Lytechinus pictus: one gene and its partner. The protein of the gene in region 2 interacts with the protein of the main gene of each other region in a pairwise test. Links are inferred from orthologs where the notes say so. Each region holds a gene or a part of one and is shown on either strand. Other genes may lie near its edges.

Region 1 (6,964 bases), on a different chromosome or scaffold from region 2:
ACCCGAAGGGGTTGAGTTTGGGCGGTGCATTGATGAAGTAGGAGCTGCATGGATTGTCACTCGTTGGGCGGGAGGAGGATGTGGTGGGTTCCGCTCAGAGGCACTGCTACTGGGATGTGGCAGAGAAGTGTTTGTGGGGGGCTGTTAATATGATGAAGCAGACCTTGAGGGAGCCTGAGAGGAGGTAGGAGTAGTGGGTACTGCACTGCAAAGGGGCGGCGAGCATTTCCTGCATGAAGGAGTGGCGTAGGTGAAGGGACATTGCGTGGTGAAGTGGCTGATAGAGGGTTGGTAGGAGACAGGACAAAGCATTCACTACATTGGGAGGTAATGGAGTTGTCCAACCTGGTAAGAGGAGTTTTTTGGCCTGGGGTAATCGAGCCTCTTTGACTGTTTTTTGAAGGATTCCTTGACCAGCTGGTAGAGTGTGTAAGAGGACTGGTAGGCTCAAAGAGATCAGGACTATGAGTGTCTGCGGTATTGGTAGAAGCACGACTCTGTATGGGTGCCATTTGCGTTTGAGCTGCTGAAGTAGGACTCTTCTGAATTCTGATGTCCATAAGAGGTGGGATTTGGCAAGGTGTTGTAGGGTGATCAAGTCTGGGAATGAAAGTGGTTTTGGGTGCAAAGGTATCTGCATTCTGCCTAGGTGGCATGACATCTTTGGGTCTGTTGCTCTGGGGATGGGGACTTCCTGGGCTAGTAGAAGACTTATTCTGCTCTCTCGAAGGAGAGATTTTAGATCTGTTGCTCCGGGTAGCCGTGACTCCTTGTCCAGTGCAAGATTTAGTCTGTCTTCTATTGGGGGAGTCTCTAAATCTGTTGCTCCGGGCAGGAGTGACTCCTGGTGCATTGGAGATCTTATTCTCTCGTCTCTGGGGAGAATATCTGGTACTGTTGCCCCGGTTGGTACGGTCATTCAGTCCAGTAGAGGTCTTATTCTGTCCTCTCAGGGGGGAGGAATTGGTCGCCGAGTAAGTTTGGGCATGGATTGAGATTACAGGGGAGGCAGACTTAGGTACAAGACGCTTCTTGGGCGAGTAAGATACATCGACTTTGGTAGTAGAGGTTGGAGTCTGACTTTTAGAAGAAGAATCTCTAGGGTCCAATGGCTTAGGATGGCTTTGGAAAGCTCTCCTTTGAGAAGGAGAGTCAGCTGGCTTGATATGGCTTCCACGGTTAGGATCACTAGGAAAGGGTCCAAGATGGTTTGTCTTGAGGAGATCCTGATCAGTTTTCTTGAAGTAGCCAGGATCATCCTTCTTCTGTCTGTGTGTCTCAGCTGACATTTGGCCTGACTTTCTATGTGTGTGTTGTGAGTAATTAGATGCAGGATGAGGCTTAACAGAATTGCCATGTTCCTCCTCTGTTCCAGCAAAGGAAGCATGTAGCGAGTCATTCAGGTGGTCTGAAAGAATGCTAAAGCGATTCGATGTGGAGACAGGGGTTCCTTGGCGTGCAACAGAAACTTTGTGAGTGGTGGAAGTTTCCAGGTGAGAATAAGGAGGGATATGGTGTGTCACCTTGTTCACCTTGCTATGTCCAGTAGCACGCTTGTCCTCTAGAAGATACGGAAGTTCATTCTCATCAATGTCATGGTTCAGGCAGATAGCAACAAGATGATCATTTGAGGATAAGAGCGATACAATTTCTTTCTCCTTCCCGTTGAGCTCTGATGTTAGGTCTGCTATTGTTTTTTGTGCCTTCTTCTTGTGATTGGAATCTGCTGAACGGAGCTTTTTGAGAGACTCAATTTCGTACCTGGCTTGTTGTAAGTTGGATACCACTTGTTCATACTGCACAAGGAGGACATCTTTTGATAAGATGATGTTATCGAGTTTATCCTTGGTGTCCCTTAGCTTCTTGGAGAGGCTGGTACATTTGCAATCAGATGGAATTGGTAACATATCCTCAGGAGGGTCACAAGCAGCATCCTGTTTAGAGTGGTTTAGTGGATTGAGTTGGGTATTCTGGCTAGTAGGGAGACTGGTTTGAGATGCCCTCGAGATTTTCAGATCTTGCGGGATAATGGCGAGAGTAGTTTGAGTGGCCTTGGGATGCTGTCTCAGGGACTGGGTCTGAGTAGATATAGAAGTAGACTCAGAGCGGGAGGATGGGTTGAAGTCAGTAACATCTGTCATTCAATTAAATTGTTATCTAGGCATATACCACTTTTTAATTTTTATTTAGAAAAAATATATTTTTATTTTGTTACATTTTTGTGTTTTTCATGTTATGCTTAAAATTTACAACAAAAATCATCAAATCATACACAAAATTAAGATCAAAATCTGAGTAAAAAATATCTACATGTAGGCCTATGCAATGCTTGGTAACATAAATAAACAAATATTTATACATTTAGAGATTTAGAACATGTACATGTATATAATTAAAATGTTTAAGGGCATGTTTATGCTTCCACTTTTTCAGGCCAGACTCAGCATTTTCATACGTGATTAGTCCAAAACACTGTTGCATCCATTCTTACTTTCATTTAAACAACGTTTCAGAACGCTGATCGTAAACTTACGAAAAGGTGCGTTTCTAAACATTTGACCAGAATCAGGGTTTCTGGGGAAGTATAAACAGGATCACGATCGTAAACGTGTTTAAATGACCTGATTTGGTACATGCTTCCGGTGAGATGAAAATCTGCGGGCTAATACAGTTGCATGGTTCTATTACAGGGATTTACCTCCATGGAATTACCTCTCAACTTCCTGGTTTTAATAATGACCAATGTACATTTGCATGTGTGAATATTAAATTAAGGAAGTACTATCACTATCACAATGAATGTTGAGGGATTAAAAAAAAAGGAACATGAGTTATAAGGAGTCATCGCTGAGCCAGAAGCCCTGCAGTAGCATAAACAAATTGATGTCTTATTATTTTCTTATGTATACATATTTTATTTTGTCTTGCTATTATCCTCACCATGGTAGAAATTCTATGGCTACATGTATGTCAAGTAGCTCCAAGATCCGAAATTGTTCGAAGTTAAAATAATAGTCGACCATAACAACACTCAGGAACAAAAGTTTCAAAAAAGGGCGCGCCCAATTTGACCTCGCTTTCCTGCTCACCAAAAATTACGGTGCGAAACCAGCTGCAGATTGCAATTTCGCCTCTGAAAAAAAAAGGCCTACGTGCAGCCAGCACTGCACTAGCAGCTGCATGAGTTGGTAGCGAATCGGCATGCAAGTTGAATTGTCAGACTCATCATCATAGACGTGATACCCCTAATTTACCTCCATCCACGTCACTAGAGCTAGAAACTTCATCATCATTCTCTTCATCTTCAAAATCATCAATTTGAAAATCCAAAATCTAAATAAACTTCTGGGTTTTCTTTCATTTCGTGATCGAAGTATTCAGTGACAGTGTGGAGAAAACGTACCCTCGCAACAGGTTTTGCATGCAAGTGGAGCTTTACGTGGGAGAGCCAATCACGTCTCTCGTACACTTATACACGTCATCAAAAAAACCCAATTTTGCGGACGTAATTGAGCGTGTTTGAAGCATTTAGAGAGAGAACTTTAAACTATCAATTAAGTGAGTTCCATAGGTCTCCATGATAAATGATGTACACCATCGTGTTCTTCCTTTTTTCCCCTTTAATTTGATATATAATTCTTCATTTTTATGATTTTCAATATATTTCTACTTTAAAAATGAATTAATTCGTGGCAAGTTGGGAATAGAAAATTGGATGAAAGAATAACAATAAAGATATATATTTGTGTCTGACTATGAAATATGAAATGGTCTGGATCATTATGAATAATAGCAATGTAATATCAATGTTATAGAGGAATAAGGGAATTTTATATTAAAATAACAGCTAGAAGTAAGGGTTATAATACACAAAAACTTTGGATTACAAAGATTACCCGGCAATACATGTATCTATATTTTCCAAATATCACATTTGAAACTACAAAGTAATGCAGTATTTCTATTCAATTACTTTGATATTTTCTAGATTTTCTTGGCCAGACTACAAGAGCTTGAATTCATTTAGAGTGTTCCCTGTCGATCGCTACTTGGAAGAAGGTATGGCTAGTGAAAGCTTCATTGGGAACTATCTGTCCTTAGACTGCGGGCCGGTCCTAGGGACATTCCAAGGTGAAGTTTCTTCTGTGTGCAAGAAAGGACAAACTATCTCTCTTAAGAATGCATTCAGGAATGGAGTCAAGTATGGTGTTCCTGAAGTAACAATGAGGTTTGTTGTAAGACCTTAAAGAAAAATAAAAATTTCTGTCTCTACTTTATTTTAAATGACTTTGAACATTTTGAAGAGACATGGCTTGCAGTTTTCATTAATTTGTGAAATTTTGAAATAGTTATTTCCATTGATTCACTTAACTTATAAATATAAGTTGATGAAAAAAAAACATAACTTGATATCATTTGACATGAGTGTGTTGAACTTTATATTCATGAAATCATATTCTATTCTAAAGCATTTATGGAGTAAACTGGTAAATCTAAAGATTATTCATTTATAAGATTGAATTCATTATCAATCAAAACTTACGTGTACTTCATAAAGCACTTGTGTGAAAATGTGATCTAAAATTGTATATTCAATAGTAAAATTCAGTATCAAATGCAGGAATGAAAAGAAATCATGTTCAGGCTTTAAATATTTATTTTCTTTTTGGTATAATACCGCTTCTCAACCATTTGATGAAATTCCAACAGTTCATAAGCATACTGATTGATACATTAATCCATTCTAAATGGTCCTTTACATTAATTAATCCATTCTAAAATGGTCCTTTGATCTTATGGGAGGTAATAACATTACATAGAAAGGATGCTTTTAATTTAGACGAATTTAGACGAAGAATCAACATGTAAAATGATATAATGGGTACTCCCAGTACGCATTTGCGAGGTTTGTATAAGAATGATATATAAGAATGATTATAAACACTCTTATTTCAGAGCTTCAGACATCAAAGATCTGAAGATCCTGAAAACAAGTGCTGATTTGAAGGCAGAGGCAGAGAAAAATAGAGCGATCATCAAAGCAGTCAGCTGTAAATCAAAGTCTGAAGCAGTAAATGGAGACGCTATCTCTAATAACAAAGGTACATACATTGTACATAGTTATTTTTAAAATCCTATTATGTATAGAAAATGTACATGTATATGAGTTTTTTTTACAGTATTATCTGTTTTGAATTCAGTTGTGGGGTACATGTAAGAATTTATATGAAGTTTGAAGCTTAGAATGCGGTCTAGAAGATTTTTTTGGTTCATGGATTAAGGTTGATTGTTTTACATGAATTCAGTTTATCTTGCCAAAATGATCATATAATGGTTACTTATACAAAAGCCTTGATTTTCATTGACTATTGAATGATATTTGTTCTCATTGTCCAGATTGTGGACTTATTCTAAAAACTTGTAGGATGCTCAAATGTTATATATTGATATGATGAACTGTCAAAAAATATTTGCTTCTGCTAACATGTTTATGACTAAAATGGCAAATAAATTATTATTAATGAGATATGATTTAATGAGATAATGTTAAAAGTGATATTCGTCTGATCATTCCGATTGATGGTATGTTTTTTTTTTAAGTATTGGGAAAGAATTGAAAAGGAGTTTACCACAATATAAAAACTGTCTGTTCAATTTACAGACACATCTACCAACAAGCTGAATGGGGAGCTGAGTAAACCCAGTCTGACTGCAGTAAGGAGATCAGGAAATTCAGAAAGAGCTCACAGCAAATCACCCCACAGAAAAACCCCTGCAGGAACGTACAAAGAATCCAGTACAGAAGGTGGACAGAAAAACAAACATCAGAACCATCTCAATCACAGCCAGCGTTCTGCCTTTCACTCACCAAACCGCAATGAAACCACAGGAACAGACTCCCAGGAGAAAGGGAGGGTTGGGTTCAAAGCAAAGCGCTCTGCGTCGTTTTCGATGCCCCAAGGGAAAGGGGATGATAGTGGCAGACCTGGTAGACCAGGGTTTCAGAGGGTCCATAGCGTGGATGGACTTAGTAGATCAGGTGGGAATGAAAATGCAGGTAGAGATGAGGAAGAATACAGGCAAGGAGGAGACAAAGGAAGGAGAAGAACCTATTCTGGTAAGACTACATCTTTTCTCTTGTTGGGCGATACCATGCCAGGAATTTCCTTGTTTGTTTTGATGCCAATGGCGTCTTACTGGTTTAGAGACCAGGCAACTTGTACACATTAAAAACAAATAATAAAGTCATAGATATTTATGTTTCCCCAACAGATAATTTATTTAAATAATGAACAATTTTTACCTCTGGATCTCAATCAGTGATTTGTTTTCATGTCCTACACTGTAGTTTGCTGATAAAGTCGGCATCCATAGTATGCTCTTATTTGCTGCTGAAGGTGCTTTGTAATCTCAATCATGCAATCAACATGACGATTTAATGCACAGTGATCCCAAAAGTGTTGCATAAATCAATAGTCAGGAATGCCAGTTTTCTGTCTCTTTCAAATTTAACATAAGTGCTATGTGTTTTCCATTTCTCCCTTTGATCCCACCACAGATTAGCTGGAAAATAAAATACAAAAAATATGCTCAGATTGCCAGAGAGCATCTATAACCCTAGAGCTGGATCCTGGCTGTAGGGACTTTGCGTGCATAATTTTCCATCTGAAAAAAAATTAGGCCCTGGAGTCATATGTCACTGGCATCCCTGATTAGTAAATCTCCTTTGAAAGTCATTTTAGTGTGTGCATTGCAAGTATGATACTAATTGCATCACTTGATATGTTGCTCTTTGATATAGGGAACCACGAGAGCAACCACACACGATCATCGCCTGTCAAGATCAGTGGAGGTAATACCCGCAAGCACAACCGAGGAGGATTCAACTCACGCAACGCTGAATGCTTCAGTGCCCCTGTGGAAAGCTTCCTCAACGATGATTTTGACTTTGATTCAAACTTTG
Region 2 (7,790 bases):
CATGTTGTACTCTACTCTGACTACACTGATAGCTGAAAGCTTCAAAACATGGACTCGAATGCGAGTTTTTCGGTGAGTACCATTTCAATTATACTAAAATCAAGCTAAGTATAATTTCAAAATGTTACAGTAGAAGTTTAAACGAGTATGATTATTGAAATATGATTGAAAAGCCGTTGCATGGCTCGGTCGACGACGCGACTGCAAGACACATGGCACTGCCAGTTGTGTGCACATAGTAGGAACATATACAATGCACATGTTGGCGTGTCAACATTACATGCCAACCATGCCAGCCGGTCGATCCGGCCGCGTTCAGCGATTTGCGAAACTGCTTACAAGCGAGAGTTGAGCGCGACGGACGCACGAACAAAGAGATCGTTCTACGTCGTAGATAGCGTCGTACGACGCTGGGCGAAAACCCACTATTATATGAATACCGACGGTATGGTACTTGAGAGTGAGCCTGATGACCGACAGTCCATCAACCATCTTCACTCGGGAGAAGGAGATGGAGATGAGACTACGACTCACATTTATATGGATATGAAACCTATGCAGATGCCGTCAACTTCTCTTGGTGTGTCTTCCATGGAAGATGACCTACCGGATACAGAAGAAGTTGTGTATGCCAATACATGATAAATGATAGGAATTTGCGACTCATGAGACTGGGGACATTTTGTTCTTTCGCACGAAATAAGGAGAAATTGTCAATCACCTAAGATTTCCTCTAAATGAAAGTAGGAACTCGAGTTAAGGTTGAAAATAAACTTTGCCTAAAACAATAGAAATGAGATGATTTTGTTTTGTAATAGGGCTAGATATACATTTAATATGTTTAATGCTCCAAAAGAGACATATAAAAAACCTTAAAGTTCAATTTGTATTGGTGGCAAAGTTTTATCATATTCAAATAAGCAATTCAGTATTTTCCATCATTTTGTTTGATTCGATTCCTTCATCTAGTACACAATATGCAAATTTGATTAATAAACCCATCCCCAATTTTGATGCTACATATTTTAAATTTAAGAACTACATGTAGTATATGTCTGATTAAAAACATGACAACACTTTTACACACCTTTTACACGTAAGAATCACATGAATGCCATGTAAGTTTATTAAAATTAATGATGAAGAACAATCTGTATTAATCGTATATTTTCAAGTGACAAATATGTTTTCTACGCTTTTCCTGATAAGAAGAAAACAAATATTATGGCATTGCTGTCATTTATTTAACACATGCTTTCTGTACGTAAATCCATCGATTGATCGTCTTCAATTGAGCGTAAGGTGAATCATGCAGAGTATAAATATGTATTTTGTTGTTGCACATGTTTAAACATGTACATATTAAACACCAAAAATATATTGTCTTATTAACAGACGAATTTCAAACTTGTTTCTACTCTGCTACTGATTTTTTTTAAATATATCATCGATGTTTTTATTTAATAATATATATATATATAATAATTTTGATATCAAATTTTGAATTAAAACATAATATGCAATGTAAATTAATAACGGATTATGTTACCCTTACTACGGCGTTTCTAAATTAAGACTTAGAGTCATGTTGTATGATGACTTTGGTGTTTCTTCTACCAAAACAAAACGATATCTTTTACCATACGTTTCTTAATGAACAAAATTGCTTCAAAACGAAATCAAGTTGTGAAATATAAATGTTGATATAATTATAAATAAATATGTTTATTAGTGTAATTGTTGCTTTCGAATGAAACTGATAACCTAGAAGATTTACCGTTGTGAACTGTATCGATGAAATCAAGATGATATTATGGTGATACTGTGAATATATCAACCCCATTACAAATATTGATACTGCATTGCTATGATACTACACGGATGAGCGTTACTTGTCATATCTTTTATTGCAATTTAGAAATAAGTAAGTAATCTATGATGAATTGCATTAGTTTAATCCTGTATTAACTTTTTTTGTATATATTCTACAAAAAAGATGAAGTCATCAGTTTCTATATTAACCTTCACAATTTCCAATTGTTGAAATTAACTATGAACATTATATCGTAGTATAGTGCCATATATTTTAGCATTTCACATTAAACTCTTGTAGATAAATTTCAGTTGCAGAGATAATTTCTCTTTTAATTAACGTAGTCATTATTCATTCACTATTATACCAATTAATTTAGGCATACTAATATACGGGATAAGTATATTTTTAAATGAAAATAACTCAATCTTAATAAACAGTTTTGATTATTAATAAGCATCATCATTCAAATATACTCTACTTTTGTGCAGACATGGTAGAAGCTTAATAAACGCACTGTAGATTTATCATTTACATTATTCATTACTATTCTATATTACGTGCGACATTCCCTTGGTAGACAGAGATGTATTTGATGAAAAAGTTGGATTATCGATAAACTCCATCATGATAAATGCACTCTATAATGCGTACACATTGAGATTCTTTTATTATTATTTATTGTTCATGCGACATTCCATTGGTAGACAAAAATGTTTCTAGTACACTAGTAATGCTATTTTTGTTAAGTCTTGAATATTAATTCATATAATGAAAATGGTATGTTGTAGATATCGTGGTTTTTTTTCCAAGCATGCCCAGTGCCATATCCATTCTTTTGCTCCCATTGGATGCAAAACACATGACTCTTCTACTATTGTTATGTCATGTCTACGAAGATGTTATTTGTCTTCGCATTAAACTTTTTTGTTTTAAACCGGTAAAAATTCTGAACATCGTGACGCAAATCAAATTGCAAAAAAGAAAGGAAACAAATAGAAATATTGATTAACCGTTGCCAGCATTGGGGTTCACAGCTGCCTGCGTGATGCTCTGCCCTGTGCAGCATTTCATAAAACAAAATAAAAAATGATATGAGCCAATCAGTTGTAAAGATTTCAGTGGCTTATCACAAATTATAGTCGGTAATATCAATGGATACGTGGAGCAGTTTCATGAAATGTTCCCCCTTTCCACATCAGGCATGTCTGAGATACCCGTGTCCTACCAGTTACATGTCTTTTGAACGTGGGTAATGTCAAGGAGGTATCGATATAGTGATTCATCCTTGGTAAAAACATCTACTAGTAGGTCCATGGTAAAATCAATTGTTTGAAAGTATCGCCTGTACGTCATTAAAGATAACATTACCATGCGTCAACATGAAAAATTCTTGCAGTGCACTAATAAATTGTTCTGTTTCATTATAAAACTCCGTTAAGAATATTTCTTTGTGTGGACTCATTCAATTGATCAGTTTCCTTTGTACCCATGTCAATAAAAAAATGTGTAATAATGATAAACATACTTTGTTCACTTTGTGAAGAGATTCCTAATTTGGATAGGGACAGAAATAAACAGGGTGGGATGGAAACTGGGAGTATTATAATATGTAATACCCCTTATCAAAAAGTTGGGGGTGAGCGACCACTGGGAAATATGGAAGTAAATGAGAAAATTACTCGGAAAATGAATAAAAGAGCAGGGTGGATGAGTAAGTGGGTGAGTTATCTAAAAGAGATGCATGGGAACATGCAGAGCAAAAGAGAGGGGATGGGATTCCGTAACGCAAGCTATTAAATCAGGACTGAAGATTTGATTATTAAAGATGAAGATAGTTTGACCAATTAAATCAAGTTAGATCTGTTCAGGCAAGCACTTTCAAAATGTGATAATGCCAGGCTAGTATAGTCCCGTAAACGTGAAAACAAAATCATCCACAACAAGCTAGAAGTAGTTTTATGAGTGATTAGAGAACGATTCTGGTGTTTCTGTACGATGATGCGATCCTATTACGTAAAGTAAGATCATAATCACTTTTGTAATTAACATGTACTGATAGATTAAACTTCAAATTTTTAAGGGAATTTCTTGAAAACCAATTCATAATGGAATAAATGAAACTAAACCATATGTTAATATTGATAAGATTTATGATCTTCACTGGTAGAGAAAACAGGGTACCTCCAAATGTAAACGAAATTGAGGATAAATTAATTGAAAATAGAAAATAAGAGAAAATGCTTGCATTGGAAAGGGGAACTTTGTTATTTCACCTTTATAGGAAATGGCAACACTTTGAAGAATCATCCTTATAGTCCTCTACCCCAGGAGCAGTCCTTCCGAGGTGAGGTTTTTATTATTTTTGTTTTATTTCATTTGGGTTTTTTGTTCCTGTTTTTATGTGTTTGTTTTATGTGTATGTTTGTGTTTCATAATTATATAGATTTTTTGTTATATGAAGAATATTTAATTATGCTTTCTTATTCCCTTTGTGATTATAAATTGTTAAATAAATACTTTTTACGGACGAAATATGTCTTAAGTGCTAGTTTATTCGATCAGGCTAGAATATATATCAAAACCTTCTGCTATAGTGACTGTTGGGATTACTCCTTCAAAGAAACAAACCAAAATCAATTTTGAGCTGCTGATGGGGTAACATTATTGGCGGAAGCTGGATCCGCCCCTGATGTGGAGTGTAGGCCTATTATAAAAAATGATGTTGATCATTTGTATGTGTTGAAAATGAGAAGGGAAAATTGAACTAGACTTTTGTCAAGACCCTCGGTGTTGCTTTAAGTGTCAACCAGGGTCTGTTTTTGCAGACTATAGCATGATGAGTTGGTGAGGCGTGGTTTGCATATTGGCCACCCGGTACAACACTAAGGCCATACCCCTCATTGCGTGATGTCACTCATAGCGACCGAAAACGCTGTGTTGCCAAGTCTCTTGGACACACAATAACAACCGGTGATTTGCGTGCAAAGTGAATGGAGTGTGTATAACACATGCGAAAAATAAGTGAAGAAAAGAAAAATCAGTCACTCAGATCAGCCGCAGCTAGTGGAACAAGGCGAAAGGAGAGAATAACACAGCGCTGGACAAGTTTTAATAGCTAATTTAAGTGACATTAAGTCATAAAATGTCGTTACCATTTTTACCAGGAAATTCCTTCAACCCCAGGGTAAGTTTCATAGACAGAGGAAAACGAAGTGCTGACTGAATTTTGTGGCAGTGCAGCTCCAGCTAGACTCCCTACCGTAGAGTCCAGTGGGGCAGCGCCAATGGCCCAATTTGATTTTGAGAATGAGATGAGTGCCGATGATGGCGATGGTGATGTTGAATGTGTTTTGATTAATCATGCCCGGCATCATGGAGATTGAATTTTGGCGAACTGAAATGAAACTTAATATATGGGACTGGGTACACTCACAAGTCACAGTATCACAGCTAAACTGAGATTAATAAATGGGAAAAAATCCAGTGCCCAGTAAGGAAAGAGTTCTAAACAGTAAACTATTATTATTTGGCCGGCAAGACTTCCAAATGTCCCCTCCGATCGGATTACGGTCCCCTCCAGGCTCCACTAAAAAAGTAAACTAAAATTGAAAAAAAAATATGGAGAAGCCAGAAGGTTTATCAAGATTAAGAATTATCTGACAGAGATTTAGGAAGGAAAAGTTAGATACAAATTACCGGTAGGCCTACCTCAAGCAATGTTCGTGCAGGCTCCACTCCTCTTCACTACAGTCAGTACAGGCAGCTACACTAGTCACTACGCTCCACCTACCCGAACATCAAGATCCAAAACTCGCTCTGAATCTGATACTCCCGAGCACTCAGTCACATGTATTGCGAGGTTTACTATTACCTCGCACCATGAGCCGCGTTTGGCAGTGAATTTCTAACTAGTGGGTTGCACGTGCTGAGATCCCACTTCTGCCTCTGGTGTACAACACACGACTTCTAGTTCTATGGCTTGATTTTTCTGTGCGCGGCGGCATGTAATGAACCCTGGCCTTGGGTGACTCCCGAGTGGCAAAGTTGGGGAAAAATTGCACATTTTTTGTAAAAATCCTACACCGAAACTTGCTTAAAAAGAATAAGAAGCTTAATTTCTTACTTCTCATCCTAATTCAACTCCAATTAGTCCAAATCCATTCCCCGGTTAGCCTCAAAATTTGTGATTTAGAGCCAACATCGAGTTCCTCACGGCTCACAGGTATAAATAATTCGCTGCCGATTTCAAAACATTGCATGCGCGAGGGTCTAGCTCAGAACATCTATGTATTTCAGGTGTAAATTTTGTTGTCGTTGAGTATCTTCTTTTATTAGAATCGCACAGATATTCGTGTACGCAGACGAGGGCTTTGCCTTTGGGGCACCTTACCATAATAATTAATAGATCCACCTCAAAACAGGCCCAAATAAATAAAAAATGGACATCATGCACCCACCTCAATTTTATCGATGTTTTTTCACAGGATCCCTATCATCAAAAAGTAGTATTCAGGAGCTTGACCCTGAAAAAAAAAAAATAGTGCGGCATCCATTCTCTCCCATTCAAAATTGCACACAAAATGGTAAACTTGTACTTGAACGAATTCCAAGTTAGAACTGAAGTTAATGATCAGAAGATCTGCCCACGGCAGCTCACCAGTTTGCATGTTTTTGGTTGCTAACTTCAGTCCAAGAGGTGGGTGCATGGTTTCCATTTTTTTTCAGTATTTTGGGCGGGTGTTTTGAGGTACATTTCCGGTACTCTGCGTCACAAAAATCAATTTGTGTGACTGCTGGCGTTGAGCCTACCTGGGTTAACATTAGGTTAGCTGAAATCTGTCTGTTTGGAGGAATTTCTAAACAAGACGTACATGTAATTAACACAGACAATTTTTAAATACTAAGAGTAGATACTAGGAGTAAATCTACAGGGACAGGGACGGATTTGATTTTAGTCATTTTAGAACAATATCACTGAAGTTCAATCATTTAACATTTATGGGGACAATCTCACACATTTGTTGAATGAGTCAACAATTGACATTCTCTAAAAATACGGTATAGAATCTAGATATATAAGTCTTGAGCCAACAAAAACAAAGTGTCCAATCATGGTATTTAATTTTTGTATCTCATTTTCCTCTCCCATATTTTGTCAGTTGGGGAAAGATAAATTCCACAAGTCGCAGCACTTCGACTACAGTAATGAAGTACCCATGATGGTCGGAGAACACAAGCCAGGCATCGGAGGTGACAAACGACTTGGACAGAAGCTCAAGCCTGAGACAAGCAGCATACCCCAGGGCCAAGGCAACTCATCTCCGTCCTGGGTGGCCTTTGACAAGCAGGTTCTGCACTTTGACGCCTTCTTCCAGGAGGCTGTTCATGAGATGAGGCAACAGTATCGCATCAGGAAGTGCAAGATCTATTTCTATCTTGAGGACGATTCCATTCAGGTCATCGAACCTCTGGTTGAAAACAGCGGTATCCCACAAGGTATGTGATTAATGATAATAATAAGGTGCTTATAATGTAATACTGGTATTTCTATGTGCAGAATTTCCAGTACTTGGTACTTGGTATGATGTTCCACCGAAATACTCCAAGAAGAGTTTTAACTGGAGGTGTACACATCTACTAGTTAATTACTGGAATCAACAATAAAAATGTAATCAATTAACCTCTTATTCATAGGAATCAAATCGATAATGAAATATCCAGATATACAGAAAAGAGAATTATTGCGAATACCTACTTCTCCATTTAGGCCAACAAGAGCTTACATACAAAGTGGCAAAATCTAATTATAAAGAAGGATAGGTTTTAAGGAAGGGTTGTAATAAAAAACGTTTTTTATTAAAAAAAACAAATAAAACGTTTTTTATTGTTTTAAAACGTTTTAAATCGTTTTAAAACGTTTTTTTTTCAACGAATGATGCAATTTTCTATAAATCAATTAAACTATACACTAAAT

The links.
Region 1: the proteins of EF-hand domain-containing family member C2-like (region 2) and enhancer of mRNA-decapping protein 3-like interact in binary tests that used the Homo sapiens proteins (3 or more experiments, as listed by UniProt). The link is inferred for Lytechinus pictus from reciprocal best matches to the Homo sapiens genes EFHC2 and EDC3.

What each region holds. Positions count from the first base shown.
Region 1 is NC_087249.1:27,566,807-27,573,770, reverse strand, and holds the start of enhancer of mRNA-decapping protein 3-like, read left to right. Parts: upstream 1-3,964; 5' UTR 3,965-4,061; coding exon 4,062-4,228; intron 4,229-4,956; coding exon 4,957-5,102; intron 5,103-5,662; coding exon 5,663-6,118; intron 6,119-6,802; coding exon 6,803-6,964. UniProt on the Homo sapiens protein: Binds single-stranded RNA. Involved in the process of mRNA degradation and in the positive regulation of mRNA decapping. May play a role in spermiogenesis and oogenesis.
Region 2 is NC_087260.1:22,384,379-22,392,168, forward strand, and holds the start of EF-hand domain-containing family member C2-like, read left to right. Parts: upstream 1-4,771; 5' UTR 4,772-4,958; coding exon 4,959-5,000; intron 5,001-6,975; coding exon 6,976-7,312; intron 7,313-7,790. UniProt on the Homo sapiens protein: Microtubule inner protein (MIP) part of the dynein-decorated doublet microtubules (DMTs) in cilia axoneme, which is required for motile cilia beating.